4 linked regions of the Drosophila melanogaster genome follow. The protein of the gene in region 4 interacts with the protein of the main gene of each other region in a pairwise test. Each region holds a gene or a part of one and is shown on either strand. Other genes may lie near its edges.

The links.
Region 1: the proteins of thoc7 (region 4) and CG32809 interact in a two-hybrid assay, tested with the Drosophila melanogaster proteins (one large-scale study listed by BioGRID).
Region 2: the proteins of thoc7 (region 4) and beag interact in a two-hybrid assay, tested with the Drosophila melanogaster proteins (one large-scale study listed by BioGRID).
Region 3: the proteins of thoc7 (region 4) and CG15071 interact in a two-hybrid assay, tested with the Drosophila melanogaster proteins (one large-scale study listed by BioGRID).

What each region holds. Positions count from the first base shown.
Region 1 is NC_004354.4:1,689,064-1,695,180, forward strand, and holds the start of CG32809 (uncharacterized protein), read right to left. Parts: upstream 3,706-6,117; 5' UTR 3,376-3,705; exon of another isoform or gene 3,234-3,375; intron 2,295-3,233; 5' UTR 2,250-2,294; coding exon 2,144-2,249; intron 2,071-2,143; coding exon of another isoform or gene 2,068-2,070; coding exon 2,017-2,067; intron 1,950-2,016; coding exon 1,810-1,949; intron 1,746-1,809; coding exon 1,137-1,745; intron 1,125-1,136; exon of another isoform or gene 816-1,124; coding exon of another isoform or gene 117-815; intron 61-116; coding exon of another isoform or gene 1-60. Other genes in the region: b6, read left to right, coding at 1-60, 117-815; a6, read right to left, coding at 5,180-6,117.
Region 2 is NT_033777.3:9,062,262-9,067,853, reverse strand, and holds beag (beag), read left to right. Parts: upstream 1-2,775; 5' UTR 2,776-2,864; coding exon 2,865-4,448; intron 4,449-4,513; coding exon 4,514-4,603; 3' UTR 4,604-4,722; downstream 4,723-5,592. Other genes in the region: Ada (adenosine deaminase), read right to left, coding at 1,602-2,615.
Region 3 is NT_033778.4:18,693,987-18,698,368, reverse strand, and holds CG15071 (uncharacterized protein), read right to left. Parts: upstream 1,785-4,382; 5' UTR 1,736-1,784; coding exon 1,115-1,735; 3' UTR 1,024-1,114; downstream 1-1,023.
Region 4 is NT_037436.4:210,440-215,353, forward strand, and holds thoc7 (thoc7), read right to left. Parts: upstream 2,249-4,914; coding exon 2,179-2,248; intron 2,121-2,178; coding exon 2,006-2,120; intron 1,941-2,005; coding exon 1,259-1,940; 3' UTR 1,197-1,258; downstream 1-1,196. Other genes in the region: Prp4k (Pre-mRNA processing factor 4 kinase), read right to left, coding at 1-299, 376-780, 853-869; Dis3l2 (Dis3 like 3'-5' exoribonuclease 2), read left to right, coding at 2,311-2,345, 2,405-3,537, 3,593-4,914. UniProt on the Drosophila melanogaster protein: The THO complex is required for cell proliferation and for proper export of heat-shock mRNAs under heat stress.

The sequences.
Region 1 (6,117 bases), on a different chromosome or scaffold from region 4:
GTCCACCACTTTGATCACGAGGGCCAGGAGGTCTCCAGCACCACTCGTGCCCCACCCTCGGTAAGTTCGTAACCAGTGCCCACGGAGACAATATAACACGCCAGACCTCCATTCAGATTAATCGTCCTCAACCCATGCACACGCTGCTCGCCAGTGGCCAGATCCCGACCCGGGTGCGCATCAACTTGGCCAATCCGCCGCCGACTGCAAGTGGTGCTCCCGCTCCTGGCGCGGCCGGAGCTCCGACCGATTCCGCCCAGCAGGCCATCACCATCAACACAAATTTTGTGAACGGACAGATAAACGCGGGATCGCGACTGGTGGCCCAGCAACTCCTTGGCCTCTCGCCGCCGAGCGGATTGCAGCCTAGTGGCGGTGGCAAACGCTTCCAAATGCTAAGTAACTCAGCCAACGTGCAGTTCATCGACGAAACGGAGACCCACATCCAGTTCAAGAGGAACACCGACGCCACTAAGAAGGTTCAGAAGCGCGGCCTGGTGCTGCTGGACGATGGATCTGTGGTGGACGACGGTGTCGGTTCCGGAACGGATGGGAGCTTGATTTACAACGGTCTCGCCGACTTTGGCGGACAGCAATTTAAGCAGGATCTTACGCTCAAGATGAGCCTGGAGGAGGAGATCAGCACGCACGACCGAGAGCCCGCCGAGGAGGAGGTAAGGGCCGTGATGGCCATCTGTAGCAGCTGCCACACGGAGCCTTTCCAGGGTGCCATCGTGTTTTCGTGGAAGGATGTGCGCGAGCACATGAACAACGCCCTCAAGGGCCTCAGTGTGGGTCCATGTGGTAACTTCTAGTTGTTCCCAAAGTTCGGATAACATTCTAGTGTCCTAGGACCCCAGCTTAAGCTTTCCCAGCCCCACCCCATTATTTCCATATCTTTTTTTTTTCTATATATGTACGAATAAGTATTCGATTGGTTGGGCATCTTGTGCCACAATTGTCCATGTGGGAGTCAACGCTTTACTGTTGCCACCCATTTGGCCACCAAACAATCCTTGACTCGCTCATGGACACCAATCCATCCTGCTTCCCTAAGCCCTACATCCTCACCCTAGCAATTACGCGGTGATATTGAATAAAGGACTATTTAACTGATACCATCTAGCAGCACTTACCTTTGATTTGTGGATATGCTGGTGCTTGTAGTCCGAGTCGAACTCCGGCTCGCTGAAGTAGCTCTGATCCTGATCCCAATTGGCCTGCGCCTGCGGCAGGGGTTGGGGTATTCCAGGGCCGCCGGGCAGAATCTGGGGCGGGGCTGCCACCTCAGTGGACTCAAAGAGACGCAGCACGGAGCGATCCCTGATCTCGCGCAGATGCGAGCGCACGTCCTCCAGCTCGTAGAACATATCCTTGCTGGCATCGTGAATGTAAATCTTCACATTGGGCCCCTCCAGATATGACATGGTCAACTGGCGCGGAAACGAGCGTACGAACAGGGCGCGCACCGTATCAATCGAAGTGATCTCGTTGGGCAGCAGGGCGCGCTTCGTCTCCGAGCGGTACTGCAGAAAGACCAGGCCCAGCGGTCGTTCCAGAGTTTTCGAGGGCGTGCGTACCACGGGGAGCGAGGAGCGCTGCTTGCCGCCCCTCCGGAATCCGGTGCTGGCCGTTTCCACCTCCGACATGATGCCGGGATCGTCGTCGAACAGCGGTCCCTGGTTAACAGGCGCATAACCGCGCATCGGCTGGTTCTTTTTGTTCTTCTGCGCGCGCGTACTCATCTAAGAAGGGACAAGAATCAGAAACTGATGGTAGAAACGAGTTGAGATGGGAGATGGAGCTCACCTCCAGATCCATGGCCCGCTGTTGCTGGGGCGCCATCTGATGGGCGTGTGGATGCTGCGAGCCGTAGACCAGCATATCGCCGCCGAGCGTATGTCGTCGTGGATCGTCGCGTCGCATGGCTCGTCGTCTTTCGTCGCCACCTGGGGAAACACATAGACACTGAGGATGGGGCTACAGATCCGTGGACGTCTTTGGTCCTTAACATACCCTGTTCATTCGACGGAAGCCGTCCCGACTTTGCCTCATTCTGCCAGTCTTCTTCTGAAAGAGAGGGAGCTGGAGTTAGGCTCATTTCATTTCGCTTCCTTCCGATTTATGGATTCCGATTACTTACCGCCCTCTCTACCCTTGCGCTTCTTCTTCGACGAGGAGCTGCTGCTGCCGCCGACGCTCTGGTTGGAGGAGGCGCTCTTGTCCTTACTCTTCCAACGGATCAACATCCTGCAGCCGTTTGAGATGTGCGGAGCTCAGTGGCTATGTTGCAGCTGCAGAAAATGAGAGACAACGGGGCGTATGGGTAACGTGAAAATGTCCTTATTTTTTTGGTCTTTGTTTACGTTTGGTACCGGCAACAACACGCTAAACCGCACACACACAACATGCAACTTTGGTGTAGATAAACCATGTATCCTCGCACATTCTTTAACAGGGTGTGGTGGAATGGAGTGGAGCCTCGCAGTGGCAGTGCCAGTGCTCAATGCAAAAAGTATGCAACGGAGTGCGCAAACTCTGCTCTGCAACACGGAATGGAGCAAGAAAGCAGGACAGAGCGGAAGGCGTGACTGGAGCTGGATCTGGAACTGCATGCGGATCTGGATCGGGACCCCAGAAATGCGGCTGGCAGAACAGACAATAGTGTTGGCCGAATACAATTGTTCATCGCAGTTGCCATTAAGATGCCATTTGCTGAGAGAACACGAATCACTTTCGAATTTGTTTTGCATATGTAAACGTTTTTGGAGTTGGAAGTTGCTTTAAACAAGGCATGTCAAGTTATTTTGGCTGCATGTACATGTTTATCTCGAGCAAGAAATCCGAGGAAGGGGCACCAAAAGGAAACGGACGCAGAGATGGGTACACACGAAACATGGTATACTTTTCAGTGCAGCACTTCACGGGTTTTAGTATGCCTTTGCCTTTGCCAGTGCCAGTGCCTGGGAATATGTACACAGCCACCCACATTCACTGCCCATCGGCATTATTGCGGGCCACTAAAGGAATTTTTGATTAGTTTTAGGTGCGGTGCCCCGGCCCGTTTTTTCCCAGCCGCCATTAATTGTGTCAGTTGCGTCCAGTTTCCAGGGCACGAGTGCACATTAAACACGGTGGAGGGGAGCTCGTGTCTGTTGACTTTTCCACACACGTCAGCGGTCAGTTGGCTGGATTCCTTTGGGTTTTCATGGGGGATCTCGTCCTAGCTGTACCTTGTATACCTATGCACCTTTGGGGGTGTGTGGGCGGTTCACCGGCGATGTTTCTGGCATTTTCTCAAACCGCACTTGCCTTGCCGATTCAGGAAGGTTTCACAATTAACGGGTCTAGGTGCTCATAGCTCGAGGAGCTCACCGATTTAGCCGTGTCCTTAGGATAAAGATTCGATTCAATTCGCTTCGCTTTGCACTCGTCACTACACAGCTTTCTGGAGTCAGGACACGGCACTCGTCCACCGACGCAGCATAACGCCAGAAGAGCAGAAATATTTCTGGTATATCTACACCGGAAAGCGTTTCCGCCCTAGCCGAACGAGGACTGCGTGCTTGCACGGCGCATGCGTTACCAATCGAGTGTTCCCGGACCAGCGAAGTTCCCTGGCATCCAGCCGTCAGAGGTCCTGGCATCCCTGCATTCCGACGCTGCTCTGTTGTGTGTGTTTACCTGGTGCCGGGGCAATCGAGTAATTTTCTTGGCGGTTGAGCGCATGTGGCTATCGAATGGCTCCAATCGATTACTGGGCGGAAGGCCTTTAAAAACAGGTGACGAAACACATGCTTGTCCTGCGCCGGCTTGTTTATCCGGGAGTAGCCAGGATTCCAGCGGATGTCTGGGCCCGCAGCCACGCCCTGGTGGAGTTTCCCGGCCAGTGGCCTCGCTGTGAGCAGCACCAGTTTGAATCGGACATGCGGGTCATCAGGGACTTCATCACTGCGAAGGAGGAGCAACTACTGATGCGGGAAATCGAGCCTCACATCAGCCGCTTGCCGTACGAGTTGAGCCACTGTGATGACGTGGGTGGGTATATATAGAGACTATATAGTATCGGATTTCTGGCTAAACTTCTTAAACTTCGCAGGCAGATACCGCGAAGTTGAACGCCGAAAGTGGACTCCCCAAAACCAGGCCACGCTGGATCACGTCTCGTGAGTTTCCTTCGGTGAGCAGGTCATGCCCTTCGTGCACATCCTGGACTTGGCTGACTCTGGCGCGATCAAGCCGCACGTGGACAACACTCGAGTGAGTTTGGCCACAGAAGATGCAACTCGATTTCATTTTCATTTACGATTGTATTCGACAGTTTTGCGGCAACACCACTGCGGGCATTAGCATGCTCAGCGACTGAAGCGCGTGACCAAGGATCCCATGACTTTGTCAGCCACTCTGAGGATCTGCTCCTGCCGCAACTCTCGCTCTATATTAAGAGTGCCCTAGCGCGATACGAGTTCACCCACGAAATCCTGGCCAGAGATCAGTCGTGGTTCAAGGAGCGCTTGGTCGAAACGAACCTTGATGGCATACGCATAGTTTCCTTTTCTCACAGCTGGTGTACATGTATATATATATATATATACAATGAAAATTTATTCCGGTTTGGTGATCAGCTAATGTAATACAGACGGCGGACTGCGACGGATTACACGACGTGATTCAGCCATGTAATATATGATACACTAAATCAAATGTACATATACATAGTATATCTTAAGCTAGCTACTTGTACTTTATAAATATTGGGCTCACCTTTCTCACTCGCTTCAAATTTTCTACTCCCTCTTATAATCTTTTGAAATTTGTGTTTTTTGCTCAACAATGTATATGGGTTGATGCTTTTCTACTTTCATTTGTACGTTGTCGTCTCGTTTCATTTAAAGCTTAAAATATGAGAATGACAGAGACAGGGAGATTAATGGGCAACTGAGTGAGATGGAGAGAAGGTGCTTGGGAAAGGGGAAGGATACAAAAATCGACCGGACAAGGACTAGTCCTGGATTCAAGGATAACTGGGAAATAGTGATGTGTTGTCGCTAAACCTACGTTCATATTTGCACTTCTAGCCACTGCTAGTTAAAGTCTATGCCGTGCTTCCGGCTCGGGGAATGATATTATGGCGATGGGGACTCGGTTCTGGCGGGTCATCGGTCATCAGTCATCCAGCTCATCCCAGTTTTCGGCGCCGCGGCAGCTGCAGCGGCAAGGCAACAACGGAAGCAGACGAGGTCGGATTTGCTGCCATCACCGGAAGGGCAAGAGCCACTGGAGCTGCGAGTCCGCCGCCGACGTACTGCAGATGCTGCACCACCGAGAGCTGTGGCTGCTGCTGCTTGAGCAGCTTGGCGGCAGCGTGTGCCTCCGCCGCAGCCACCACGACGGGGTGCACCGGTTCGGTGCCGACTCCTCCGTTGACATGTGGACCGGTGCTTTCGCAATCGTCTTCGTCTGAGATCAGTGATATGCTGAGGTCGCTGGACAGTTTTAGGGAGATGGGCGTGGGCGGCGAGGGAGCCACCAAGGGCGCCACTTTGGCGCGCAATGCCGGTGACAGTTTCTGCAGCTGCTCCGGCATCAGGTCGTTCGTGTATTCCGGCACTCCACTAAAAGCCAGGCCTTCGCGTAGTTTGCTCAGCGAGAGTTCGTAAATACGGTTTGCGATGACCGTGTGAACGGTCGTCTCGTCCGGCAGCGTGGCTGTGATGCCTCCGCCCACGTCCACCTCCAGAAAACAGCCCGTTTCATTGCCGCCCTCTCCGCCTTCGGCGGTGGCGAATCCATTGCTGGCCGCCGTCGACGCTCGACACGGCTTGGGGTGACCTGACACCCGCGTCAGGCAGTTGGCAGTGGTGGAGGTGCGCGGCACCAACGAAACAGTTACCTCTTCGATGGTCTCCGACTGTGTGAGCGGTGCGAGCGGTGGCGGTGAGCGCATGGAGAGCTGGGAGCGCACTCTTGCCGTGCTGCTGGGTTCCTGCTCGTTGTGCTCGTCATCGCTGGTTATCAGGATGCTGTCGGTCACTGGGTATGAGTGGGTGGCAGCTCTGCGCGGCGCCTGCCTTCTGCCCGTTCTATGTGCTCGGTGCCCTGGGGCAGGAATCAGGA
Region 2 (5,592 bases), on a different chromosome or scaffold from region 4:
TAAATATAAATAAACAGTAATTAATTAATTACGATAATATTTTGTAGTTACACACTCGAACACACGGAGAAATTCAAATATACAAACACAGAGCGAGACCTTTAGTTTTGTAAACCGCGAGCGATTGGCACAAGTTAAATAACTACAATTTGGACAGCATTGCATTCGAGCATTTGATTTAACAATGCATTAGATTTTTATGTTTATTATTATTATACAAAATACGATTAATGCTAATTTCTTTGTGAAAAAAATAAAACAAGTTTATTATGTAGCAAAAAGAAAACGTTTTATTTCTCAATTCGAACCGATTTAATTGTCTCTTCCTCACACCAAAATGCACACATCCACACATAGTTTCAACTGATTGGCTTCAATGGAAGGCTGCGATGACTACAAAACTGAAATCAAAATTGATATTAATACGGCATGCAATTAACGAGAATAGCATTACATTGAAAATAAATATAGATAAATAATATACACGTACCATAACCTCTATAGCCCTTCCAAATCTGCAGAAAATGGCACAACAACCAAAAATGAAAGCGCAAGTTCGAGGCATTTTATACGGCGCATTTTTTATATATGAGCAGGCTAGCTGTCTATATGATATTACCCAAAAATGGTCGACTTTTATAAATGAGCCAGTAAGTAAACAAGACATATTTTTTTATAAGCCTTGGCAAGCTAAACTTTTACCAGGCCGTACATTTTAAAAAAAATTATACATACTTAAAAGCAAGAATACTAAAACCCTATGCCCGAACTCCTAAATAAAGTCGAATACAACAGCAAAATCCATACCATACCATTTTCAACTAGTAGAATTTTTCCAAAGTGTAGAAATGTAAACCTTTATATAAATATATAGATTTGTAATTGAACTCTCTAGTTGAGGTAAAAACACTTCTATACAATATAAATAAACTCCCAAGTCGGTCGTTTCTTGAAGCTCGACATTTGGAATGAACTGGATAAAGTAGTAAAACTCATGTAGAAACACAGCAGTAAGCTAAAACCAAACTAAAAGTATAAAATATAGATAAACTGTATATAGGGAATACCAGGCAGGCAAACCACTTCAACTGAAAGCTAATCTGCAGGCTTGGGTAGGTGGAGGGTCCGACTATAAAGATGTCTTCACCCAAAAAGTTTGTTTCAAAATGTGCTATTAAACTACAGATTTCGATCATTTAAGTCTTACTTTGGTTTCCTTAGATTTCGATCGTCCACTTCACTTGGTGCAGTTTAAGAGCCCACTATTGACCAAAGCTTGTACTCCATTGTATTTTGAATGCCTACCCCCAAACTAAGCCACACAGAACGGCAGAAACGAGAACATAAAGTAATGAACAGAAAACTTGAATTCAATTATGAATGATATTAAATGAGAAAAACATAAAAACTTATTAGCCACATATGTACGTACGAAGGATGAACATAACTAATGAACAAACTTGTAACTAAATACTTCTACATATTGAATAAAAAGAATGATATTAAAAGGTAAAATTTTTGACAAATAAGAATCAGGTTGGTACATATATGGTGTTACATACAAAAACTTATTTATTTCAATTAGGGCAGTGACAGTTTTTTTATTTGACCAATATGTCTGCGTAGTTCCCCACCCTATCCGCCATCTGTATTTGCTCCTGTTCGCTGGCGAATGAATGATGCACTGCCTCCAAGGTCAAATCGATGCATTGTTCACGGGTTAGACCGAAAGTTTCCGCAGCAATCAGAAACTCCTTTGTCAAAGTGGTATCAAAAACGCCACTGTCGTCCGTGCAGATAACCTTGGGTGCATCTGCCTCCATGATTCTTTTCAAGTGGTGCTCCTCCAAGCTGGGCACTGTTCCCGACTTAACATTACTAGTGAGGCAGCATTCAATGGCAATATTTCGTTGTTTAAGCTGCCCAATGTCCTCGGGAGTAAGAAAAGTTCCATGTCCACAGCGGGACATTCCAAAGTGCAGCATTTCCTTTACCTCCGATGGATTCTCGATCTCGGCGCAGTGTATAGCTAACTTCAGACCCTTATCCCGGGCCTGTGCAAGAATAGGAGCAAAGTCGGAAAACCGCCCCTTCCCTGGATTACCGCTAAGATCGATGCCTAAGATAAGATTTGGATGAGCCCGTGCCAACTCCACAGCCAGGGAAACTGTTTCCTCAGCCACGTCCACTGGTTCCGCTCGATTGATGGAGGGCAGTAGCTTGACTGTTATCTCTGGATACGTTTCGCTAGCTGCCTTAATTGCATCGATCACGATCTGCAGGTAGTCCCTGCGTGAATAGTTCTCGTTTGCCTTAGGAGTGGTCCTCATTTCCACATACTGGACGTTGTCCTCAGCGAAATCTCGAATCGCCAACTCCGTGGCAAATCGCAGACCCTCCCGGGTGGAGGTCAACTCGTGCACAAATGCAAACTTCTCGAAGCATGCATCCATATCCTTTTCAAATCGGCTGAAGTGCGCGCACAACTTCAGGAAATCTTTACAAGAGGTTCCATACAATCGCTCGCCAAGATCACATAGGCTTTTGATGCCCAAGGAACCGTTGAGGTGAGCATGGAGCTCTACTTTGGGCAGACCTTTAAGAAACTGCTCCATTTGTAGTTTAACAATAATAACAATACATTATGAGAAACAGTGATGCTAAATGTGGAATCGATTTTCAAATATTCGTAATTATTCGGAAAAAACGCTAAAAACGCTAATCTTCCATCACTGTAAACATGTTATCGATTACAGTACGGAGAAAAATCAAAAACACAGCCAACCCTGGCAGGCAAAACCAAGAAGAAGCACAATTTGTAAATATAGATTTTCTCTGCGAGTTTTCTTCGAATTTTCTTCGCCATGTCGGATGCCCACTTGGAAGCACCGCCTTCGGTGCGACTAACCAACGATGACTTCCGCAAGCTGCTAGCGACGCCCCGAGCTCCTCCTCCTGGCTCCGGGACGAGCAGCACCTCCGCTGGAGGATCTCTGGCCACTGCTACCTTTGCCACGCCCTCCACCGCCCCCGGCACGACAGGATTGAGTGGCGAAAAGAAGAAGGGTCAGAGCAGCAGCGAGCGGAATGATCTGCGTCGCAAGAAAAAGAACTTCTATGCGGCGCTCAAGAAGCAGGAGGATGTGAAGCTGCAAGAGCTGTCCGAGAAGTACAGGGACCGAGCACGAGAACGACGCGATGGTGCCAATCCAGATTACGTGAACGTGAGCACGCCGGGACACGGAAGCAGCACCAATGCGTATCGAGCTGTAGCGCCAGATATGAAATCCGGAATCGATGCCCAGGAGCGAAGAAGACGTATCATTCAGGAGTCCAAGTTCTTGGGTGGAGACATCCAGCATACGCATTTGGTGAAGGGTCTTGATTACGCCCTTCTGCAAAAAGTGCGCTCCGAGCTGCACTCGAAGGAAGCGGAAGAGGAGGAGATTGCCGCCGCTGTGGCAAGGGAAAAGCTCGCCGAAGCAGCTGCCGCCGCTGAGCAATTGGAAGCGGAACGCCGCGAGTCGGAGGATATTAATGCAATCAATGGTGCACTAGCGCGCAATATTTACAATCTAGTGCAGGCAAGGCGTTCGAAAGAAGTTCCCCGCAATGAGCTATTTGCTCCAGGACGGATGGCCTATGTGATCGACCTGGATGACGAGCTAGGGGAGTCGGATATTCCAACCACACTGAAGCGCTCCAAGTTCGAGGTGCCGGTGTCACAAGAGGATGTTGCCACGCTGACCACCAATGACATTGTGATCAACAAGCTGTCCCAAATCCTGAGCTATCTACGTGCCGGTGGTCGCAACAAGAAGAACAAAAAGCGCGACAAGGACAAACCGCTGTTCTACGAAAAGGAGGTGGAAAATCTTCGTGGGTCGTCTAGCAATGGTGGCTCCAGTCGGCACGCCACCTCGTCCTCATCGAACATGGGAGGGAAATCAGCTCCCTTGGGCGATAATATCTACGACGATATAGGGGACTACCAACCTTCTGCCACGCGACCTGAGCGAAACCGCCAGGAGCAAGGCAAGTCCGCCCCGTCCTACTTTGGAGACGGCCCGCCGGAGGCATCAGAGGAGCCGATAATATCCAGTATTCCCCCGCCACCCAAGATATCGAAGGCCATGGCCGCACGGTTCGCTGAACCCGAGGGATACGCAGAATGCTATCCCGGGCTGGAGGAGATGAACGACGCCATCGACGACTCGGACGATGAGGTGGATTACACCAAGATGGATTTGGGCAATAAAAAGGGGCCCATTGGACGCTGGGACTTTGACACGCAGGAGGAGTACTCCGACTACATGAGCACGAAGGAGGCGCTGCCCAAGGCAGCCTTCCAGTACGGGGTCAAGATGCAGGACGGTCGCAAGACGCGCAAGAACAAGACGGAGAAGAACGAGAAGGCCGAGCTCGATAGGGAGTGGCAAAAGATTCAGGTATGTATATCCCAAAGGATTCGTCGATGATCAATACAAAATATTTATTTTTCTTTGCCATTTAGACAATCATTCAAAAGCGAAAACTGCCAAAGGACGGTGGAGGCGGCGGTGCTGGTGGCGATGAACCCGATTACAAATCCGCAAAGTACTAGAAATTCTTGAAACATTATTCTATATTTGTAATGTAATTCTGTAAAACATTAAATATAAGTATGCTCGTACTTGTATTAATCTTACATGCTCTCAAATATATTTTAGCAACGTTATCACTAATTTAACTGCTACTGGAGTTGGGAACTAAGGGGAGGGTCCTTAGGGAGCTTGGCAGGTTGACTTATCGACTATGTGCGGCAATAGCGCTGGTACAGTGGGATTCAGAACTGTAAGACCGCTGGCGCAACGCGAGTTTAATTTCCATCGAGTAAGGCCAAATGTTGGGGAACTTTAAAACGGGTTCGACAATCAAATAAAATCGATCTCTTTATTTTGCATTGCATTGCTCTTACAGTCCCGAAACGCACTGCTTGTGATTCTCAGTTGGTGTGCGAGCTGCATCTACTTAAGCTGGATGGGTGCACCTAGTGCTGCTCTCTAACATGTAACGTTTCCTGCATGCTTAGAAATATGACACTGATTAAATGTAATTACCTTCGCGGGAATGCTATTCTTAATCACTACGCTAAGTCCGAGTGTGAGGATGGTGGGGCGACTTGTATAAAATGGGTATCGGTAAAGTTTGTATCTTTCAGCTTCGGAAAACCGAAGCTCAGCCCTTTACACTGCCAAGAGTGGTTTGAGGAAATGGGGAAAACAAAGCCGGAAATGATTAAATAGTAGAATTTGTTTCTGGTTACCTAGCTTGAAAATATTGCAGCGATTTCCCACCTAAACATGTCATTAGAATTTATAAAAGTATTAAAACCGTAAAAATGGATTGATCTTCGATAAGAAGACATTTTTGAGATTCTCAAAAGGTATCGGAAAAACAGACCTGAACCTGAATATGACCTGAGCCCTATCCTGACTAGCTTAGCATTTAAGAATATAACCACACGCAATGCAAAGGGCCCGACGACACTCTTTGGCTTGCATTCCGGCGAGGGATTCGGAGTACATGGTACTGGATTGGGGCTTAGAAAGT
Region 3 (4,382 bases), on a different chromosome or scaffold from region 4:
CGGTTTCTTTAAACTTTTTTTTTTTTTGCTTTTTTGTTATTGTTTGCTCAACATTTAAGCGAATTCCTGCTGCTTCCTGAGTACTTATTTCTTTAATATATTCAGCATTTTATGAAAATTTGTCAAAATATAAAAAAAAAGAGAAGCAGGGAATCTTTTCAATCAATTCAAACACACTTTTGTGAAAATTCCACCGCGAGAGAGTAGAACTTGAACTTGAGACAATGCAATGCAATGCAAACTATTTGTTTATAATAAAGACAAAGAGCGCTCTCGCTGCCGGGCAATGCGGCGTATGCGTAATGTCTGTTGAGCGAATTAGACGATGGCCGGCGAAATCGAGATGAGTGTCATACTTTTACATAATTGCATGAAACAAATGCTGATTCTGCACTGATATTACGTCCTATAAATCGCCAATGCCACGTGAGCCGGTTTTGAACTTCAGCCAACAACGGGAAACAAGGAAAAACCAAAGGCTTGGGGGGGGGGGGGGTAGGGCTGAAAAAAAAGTATGGAAAAAACAGAAATGCCATTGCCACGTGCCGTTTGACCTTTCCCCATTGGTCGCCCGGCGAATGCGATGAACCTCAAGCTCGGCGCTCGCAAATGAGACATTTCAAAATAATCGCAACCAGAAATACACCAACAACAAGTATAGCAGTCGTGGCAGAAAATACCAGTGTCGCCTCCGTTTGGGAATCCTTCAGCCGAAGGCGAAAAAAGTCGCATCAAAAGGTCCTATTGATTTAAAAGGCAAGCAGCTCAAGGCAAGGTCTAAAATGTTGTTGATTACGAGTGTCGCCCATTAAATAAGGGCCCTGAAACAATGTCAAGAATTTCAGCAATATTTGTCTGCAAATCGCAATGCATGGCCATCGAGAAAAGCATTTGCTCCGTAATACTTTTTCAAAACTAATGGTATTTGCATTTAAATTGGATTGGATAATACTTTGTAGGTATATCTACTTTTGAAACTATTCCACTTGATTTAAAGATATTTCTTTATTGTTTTGCAAGCCTATTCAAGTTATAGAACAAATACAAATTTTTGGGATATTATCTATGTGAAAAAGTGAAAAAAAAACTAATCCAAAAGTTGCTGTATATTAATCTACATGCTACCTTTCCACAACAGCTTATTTTCAATTTCCATTTTAGCGTACTGCTCCCTCAGTTCTTCGAGTTCCTTTGAGTTCCTAGCAGCCAAGCGATACAATTGGGCATTTAGGCCAACGATTCTTTCCCTTAGAGCATTCACTGTATATTGGCTAAGACGTTCTGGCCGAAAGACATCCTCCTTAACGGTGGCCACAAAATGCCACATATCCTGAAGCTCTCCACGCTTTTCGCTGCTATATAGCTTAAGTTTTTCATGGAGCACAAGTTTCTCCTGTTCGATTTCGTTGATCAGACCTATTAGATCTGCCGTGGAGGAACTGTTGGGTCGTGGATTTCGACCAGTTTCCGGCTCTTGGCAAGACTCGGTCTTTGAATCTGTGCCCTCATCATCTTTGAGTATGAAATTATTGGGATTCAGCTTGACTTGATTGCATTCGAGATATTTTTGCTGCGCCTTCAGGCGCGTCAATTCACACAGAATGGCGGTAGGTGTTAGTTTTGCCGCCCTGATCTTGGGCGGAATTTTAACTTGATTCCGTTTACGAGCGGGTTTTTCCGGCGGTTGAGCCCTTGGAGCCGTTGGCTTTTGTTCATCGTCTTTTGGATTTTCCATTGGGGCTTCGGTAGCATGTGATTGTTGCACAACATCCAAGGAGAGAGTCGTTGCAACTTCTGCAGCGCTCGTTTGGTTGTTCTTATTTACACGCGGTAATCAAACGTGTTGCCAGCACACCCAACCACCCACCCACTCCTTCCACGTGTTTAATCGATATGCAACCTTTCCACCCCCCTCGATTTTTCCGGCTGCTGTGCCAACAATTCTATGCTTCTGCCGGGGGTCAGTAAACTTTATTTGGCTTGGCTGGATTTTACAATTTTCCAAACGGCAGCGGTAACTTTCAGTGGAAATGGAAAATCGATTAGTACAATTACTGTTTCCATGTCATGGCCTACTTAATTGCCCATGGAAATGGGACAAACGGGGTCGTGGCTTGAAGACCACTTTCGTGGCTAACTAATTTCTAATCAGTACTTGTGGGAGACCGGGAAAATCCACCTGCTAGCCAAAAACTCAAGTGACGATCAAATGTTTGGCGAGCTAATCAAGTTTCAATGGACTAACAAAAGTATAAAGTAAAAGTAGGAAATACAACAGTGAGCCTTGCTTTAGTGGAACTAATATATTAAATCACAATCTACAATCAATGAAATCAAAGCTAAGAAGGTTTATATATTATGCAAAAATGTTCGTTATATTTAAGATTCACTGTTAACTAACGAAATTCGTTTATATTTAAATTGCCTTTTTTTTTTATGTACGGCTAAAATTGCTGGAATTACAAAAGTGCTTGGTATGGAAGTTTGACTGTTTGTGCGGATGAAATGTTGATTTATTATTTGTTTTGCTATCGCCTGCAAAGTCAAATCGGGCAGCATTAACTTGGCGCGTGCTGTTTGTCTTCTGTCTCCCTCCCACCCACCAGCCACAACCCACTTGCGCCCACACCACCCACTCCGCTGTGCGACAGAGACAGAGAGCGAACGCACGTGACTGATTTGCGAATTTACTTTTCTTGCGATGACAAAACATCGTGGATGAAAAATCAGCAGAAGAAGCAACTCCACTGATAGCATTTGTGCTTATCATTGGAATGTATGTATGTATGCGTATTTTTTTTTTTTGCTGCAGATAGCATAGTTTTGTTAGTATCAAAAGCATACAAATATGAACGTGGAAATGCAAAGGAAAGGCAAAAGGTCGACCTTAGATTTAGTGCGCATAATTTTTTGGGTTTTGTAAACACACACACACACAGTAGAAATATGATAAAAACCGCAGACACACGAATGGTGAGCTGCAAAAAGCCGCGAAATTGTTAATAAAAAGGTAAATAAAAATTGTTAAACGATTTCAGCCACCCATCTCGCTCGCTCATCATCTCCGTCCCGCTTGCACTCGCTTCTTTTCGGTCTGACGCGTGTTAGATGTTCAAACATGTTTTCGGTCTGCTGGCCAAAAGGCAACGCTCAGACGGCAGCTTAAATATTTGCCCATAGCGAAAGATCAATCAACAAATGTGAGCGAGACGGTGTGAATTGACCAGAAAGAGACGGGTAGAGCATAGGGCTGCACAGAGAGAAATAATATCGACATATAAATAATGAAATGTATAGTAGCATACAGTTTAAACAGTTTAAAAACTCACATTTGCAATGCGGTTTTTCATCTTAACTTGGAATGAAATTTAAAAAATATTTTATTTAAGTTCCCCTGCTTTTCTCTATGTAAAAACAAACACGAGTGGTATATAGAGTGTCTACGCTGCATGGCTGGTGCTTAATTGCATCAATTGGAGCATTAAAACAGTTGCCAAGGCAACTACAGAAAAATTCAATTAAACTAAAACTTGCCAATTGAGTGCAAACACATTCCGCACACAAAGAAAGTAAACTGAAATTCAATTTGAAAAACGGCACATGAAAGCGATCAAGAGAGCGTAGAACTCTAAACAAAGAAAGAAATCAATTAATACTATTTATATTGGCTAAGAAATGATAAAACTGTTTATTTCAGAGTCATTTCCCCCGCAGATTTTCACTAGAGGAAATCATGTAAGCTAGGCTATGATTTGCTTTTACGATACGCTGATCAAAGTACGTATCGCACACTTTCTTATCGATGGGTTCTGCAGTTCCTTCGGTTTAAACAAATAATCATAATTCGAATGTGTGTGTGTGTACCCACAGTTGTGTGTACAAGTGAACTTTTGCCATTTTTCCATTGATAATAGTGAATTATTGGCAAAATGCGCTTAGGAGCGATAAGCCATGGGCTCTAAGGCCATACACCATACGTAAATAAATTCATTTGTATTCAGATCCTAACGTACTCATGTTTTACCAACGCACAGATATAGCTATACTATATAGAATGAGTACACATATTGAGTGGACATGGCAGAAATAAGATAAGTGGCCACCATTGGACCTTGAAGTTGTCGAACAGCTGTGCGCTCTTATCAGGGGTAACAAAATTTCGTTACAGTCAACAAACAATTCGCCAGATCGAGGGAAGCTGATTCGATTTGTTTATCTATCTGCTTTGATGTGCCACACTGACCGACTGTTTCGAGAAATATGGCATACTATAGTCGCACTGAGCGATAATTTGACATTCAAAGTTATATATACCATTAGTGAGTACCACAATTGTTAGTTTTGGCCCACTAAATGTCACAGCATTAATCATTCAATCAGAC
Region 4 (4,914 bases):
TATGCGTGGTAGACTTTTTAATATTAGCATGTTTACTGGTTGCAGTAGCCAACGGCGCTGCAGACTTGCTGGGTTGGGGCTGCGGTACGGATGTGACAGCTTTGAGCACTGATTTGGTGTGGACAACCAGCTGCTGCGAGTGTGTGTGTGGGAGGAGATCGCCCTTATCCTCAGCCTCGGGATCCGACATATAGGCGCCCAGGCGCGCCTGCAGAAGGGCCTTCTGCCGCATCAATTCCTCCAAATTAAGCTCGTCTTCAATAATAGACAAAATAATAGGACTGGCGGCATCGGCGGGCCTAAAATCAAGAAAGATAAGTGCGAACACCATATGAATTACGAAATCGCTCCCCTATTTTATTCCACAATACTTACACATCGCTTTCGCTGCTTGAACTGGCCACCTCCAGGACAGGCAGCATCTTATTCTGAATAGTTTTGGTGATTTCTTCAACAAGGCTGCTCGGATCCGTCGGAAGCAGGGGTTTGCCGACACGGAAATCGGCTCCATTCCGGCTGGCCTTCTGCATGATTTCTGTGAACTTGCTGCTCAGCCCGCAATTTTGTGATAGCTTTAACTTTGCGTTTTCCGGGGCGTCCGATTCGTTTGTGGATTCGCTTGTTCGGTGGGGGCGCTTTTTTGCCTTCTTCTGCTTCTTGTGGACATGCCTGTCCTTCTCGGTCTTGCCAGTCGAGGATTTTTTATGTTTTTTGTGCTTTTTAGCCTTTTTGTGCTTGGCCCGACGCTCTTCGGTCTCGCTGTTGTTGCTGGAGTCGTAGCTATTCGGTACAAGAGGGGAGCAGCCCAGGTCAATACACACACGTGCGGTCGGCTTAGTAAAATTAACCTACCTTTTGTCGTCAGCCATTATTTGATTGTTTAACAATGTAAACTGCAGATGCGCGCACACTGTGCGTTCATAAGGTGTGCGGTAATTCTGCAGATGGCTAATGAAACTTGTAATTTTCCTCTTATTGTATTCTTCCTCTTCGTAGCTTTTTTAGTGTGACTGCACGCCGGACAAAAGTAAATACGTTTTAAAAATACCTCCTGGGATTTCGGAATTATTTCTAGTATATATGCAAGTAAAATAAAAATATATTAAAATTAAATTTTATAACCCTTAAATATCGTCTTTGGCGCAAGTCTAAATTGGAAATAAAAACGAAGGAATTTCGAAACAACAGTTGAATTTGTATATTATAGTTCATGACATTTTATTTTTTTGTTTTTATTGTACATGCTAGCGCTTCTAACCTAATTGGCAACAGCTACATCCACGTCGTGCTCATCTTTGTCGATGCTTAGCTCAAGCACCGTGTCCTCTTCTACGGACATGGCTTTAGAGTCCTCAGTAGAGACTGAGTGATATTTGGGCTCGCCGCGGGCTCCGTCGAACTTTGTGGGAGTGCTATTGTTGAGATCGTCGTCTTCATCGCTTACCTCCATGATCCCATTGTCGTCTAGGTCCGGCTCAGAGCGGGCATCGCAATCGCTGGACGAGGAGGATGCCGAGGATGAGCTGTCCTGGTCCAGCTGCTGTTCCAGCTCGTGAATCGTGTACATCAGCAAAGTGAAGTCATTGCGTCGTTTCTGAAACTTGCGCTCCATCTTTAGCTTCTTTTGCACCAAGTCGTCAATCTCCCTCCTAATGGTCTCAATATGTCGCTGTGTTTCACTGCGGTCCGGTTGGTCCTGGATGAGCGAGGCCAGCAGGTCGTACTCCATCTTGTTCTTGCGAATCTGCTTGGCAGTGATTAGCTCTTTTTTACTGGATTCGATTTCCGCTTTAGCCAAAACAATACTTTCTTCGTGGTGTTCAACTAGTTGTGTGTAGTTGTCACGCTCACCGGCGATCATCTGCAGAGTTTGTACATTCTTTAACGCAGTGAGCTTGCACTGGGCGAATTGGGCCATCAGTCGGTCGTACATGATGGGACTGTAATTCGGAAAAGAGGAGATATGTACACCATGTTTTGAATACACACATATCCAATTTCTTACTTGCTGTCCAGCGAGTCACTGGCCCACTTCAAGAACTGTTTCAGCAACACTACTATTCTCCGATCCTCTCCAGTTCCATCCCCGTCAATCAGCAGGCGCTGCTTTATGATTTCTTCTGGAAGATCAGTTTAAATATCTATTCCCAAATGCGAAAATAAACAAAAACAACTTACCGTCATTCATCTCCACTAATTTCCGAACTAGCGTATCGGAGTGTGGCCGAAGCTGACACTGCTCCGACATACCACGCAGTACGGTCCTACTGTACTTGTCCTATCATTTTAATTTGGAGAAAGTATTGAATTATGCCTTACCCTTTATATCCCGCCCATAGCCAAGTGTAGTGCCGTACACTTTCGGACATCAGCGAATCCCATTAACTAAGTGCACTTCTTGCAGAATGTCGGAAACGTCAAGCGTCAACGTGGATGCGGACCGAGATTGCAGAAGGATTGAGGGCCTCCGACAGCGCTCACAACGCCTTGCTGCCCGCCTCCAGCAGATGCAGAGGGAAATGGAGTCTAATGCATCCAGCAAAGACCTATCGGCCAACAATGCCGTTATTCCGCTGCAGCCACTAATGCGCTGGGCGGAACCACGGCCACATCCCAACCAATCCCAACCATCTGCTCGGAGCAACAGCAGGCAGGCCATTCCTTACGGTGTGCCAGTATCCACGCCAGCGCCGGTAGCTATGCAATTGCCCTACCACGTAGCATTCGCCTCCTACCAGGCGACCATGCAGATTCCCTGCCTTCAGCCACTTTCGCATTTGCACGTCGTGTCTAGTCCCAGCCATCGGTTAATAGCGAAAAAGAAGTCGAAGCGGGCTCTTCGAAATGAGGTGGAAGCTCTTCAGGATATGGTCAAACATCTTTCACACCTCTCCCCAGATGTTAACGCGTATGCCTGCCAGCTGATACGTAAAAACGAGATCCTTTCTCAGCTCGAGTGGAGTCAGACCAGGTCAGAAGCACATCCGCAACAGGTTGGTTACCAGGGGCGGCATCGCCACGATTCTGAGGTCTCTGCTACAAACAATGGAAGTCATGTACAGCAGCAACCGAAACTAGGACGAAGGCAACGCAATAGCAAGAAAAACGATGGATCCGGTAGCAATGGGACCCAATCGCAAAAAACCGAACTAGAGGCCATGCGGTCGTACATAAACAAGATTGTCCAACGTCACGTGGGTATGGATCACCAGTTGTCGGAAGACTTGATTTTCAAAGGTAACTTCTCCGACCTGGAAGCGCATGCGCAGAGACTAGTTGCGGCGGGTTATGGGCGCATTGTAGAAGAGGAAATCCGGGTTAACCGCAAGAACAACAGACAGGCCTTTATAATCATGTCCACTGATCGAGAAGCACTCGAACGAGATGGCATCGTGCTCTTGCCAGTGGCTAGGCGCTATGCCTTCGATGGTGACAAAGTACGTGCATTCGTGCTAAACCCTGGTGCTCAGGGTAGTTCAAAGACAGCTGAGCCCTCGTCTGGTGAAATCTCTGGTGGGAAGCCCTCATTATCTCTTGGTAAGTTTATCGGCAAACTTATAATACTTTCGACTGATGATAATATCCTATAAAGCGGATGGTGAGGAGCTTTCGGACGATACCGAGTCCCAGGGCTCTGAGTCCGATACCGACAACGTGGTCGTGATATCGTCGGACAACTGCCCTAAAGCGTTCGTCATAGCAATAACTAAACGAACTGAGCTCCGCCAGATCGTGGGAACCATATCGTTTACGAACCCAACCAAACTCTGTGACGACCAGCTATTCTACAAATTCCGACCGTACGATTTGCGTGTCCCCATGGTCTACGTTCCGAAGGATGCCTGTGCCGCCCACATCGGAAACAAGCAGCAAATAGACGTGTCCGGCCTCTTATACCTTGCCCATATACTCGAGACAGATTGCAATGGGCACTGCATCGCTGAACTAATCCAGCCGGTTGGCCGCGTGGGTAATTTGGATGACGAACTTAAGGCAATTCTGTTTCATAACGGTCTCCGGGATATAAAGCCATTTGAGCAACGATTTATCGACATTTACTCCCAGCCGCCACCTCCGATAAGCCAAGAGGATCTGCGTCAACGAAAAGACTTAAGAAAGATGTGCATATTTACTATAGATCCGATGACTGCTCGCGATTTGGATGACGCCGTTTCTATAGAGAAGCTAGGCGACAACGAATATGAGATTGGCGTCCATATATCCGATGTTTCGCACTTCCTGATAGAGGACAATGAACTGGATAACATAGTGAAGGAACGCTCTACGTCTATTTATTTAGCCAACGAGGTAATCCACATGCTGCCTCAGTCTCTATGCATGCGATGTTCCCTGCTCCCTGGGCAAGACAAGTTTGCTTTTTCCGTCTTCTGGCGGATGAACGGGAAGGGAGTCATGCTGCAAAAGAAGCCAGAATTTTGCCGCACAGTCATTAACTCTTGCTCGCAATTTGCTTATGAACACGCTCAAAAGATCATCGACAACCCTAATGAACGGTTTACCGAGAACGACTTTCCGACCATCCTGAATGGATTTAATCCCGATGATATCAGAAATAGGGTGCTATGGCTGCACGACATTGCAAGCTCCATCCGTAAGACACGTTTAGACAATGGCGCACTCACAATTAACAATGCCAAGCTACGCTTCCTGCTCGATCCAATTACTGGCGAGCCGTTGTCTTTTGAAGTGGAGAAACAGCGAGAGGCTAACCGGCTGATTGAAGAGTTTATGCTCCTGGCCAACCAGGCAGTCGCCCGCTTTATACACGACTCCTTTCCGGATATCGCTGTACTGCGTAACCACCCTCCGCCACTTATTAAGTCCCTTAAGGCTTTAAGGGAAAAGCTGCTTGCTCTGGGATTCGAATTGGACTATAGCTCGTCTAAGGCGCTC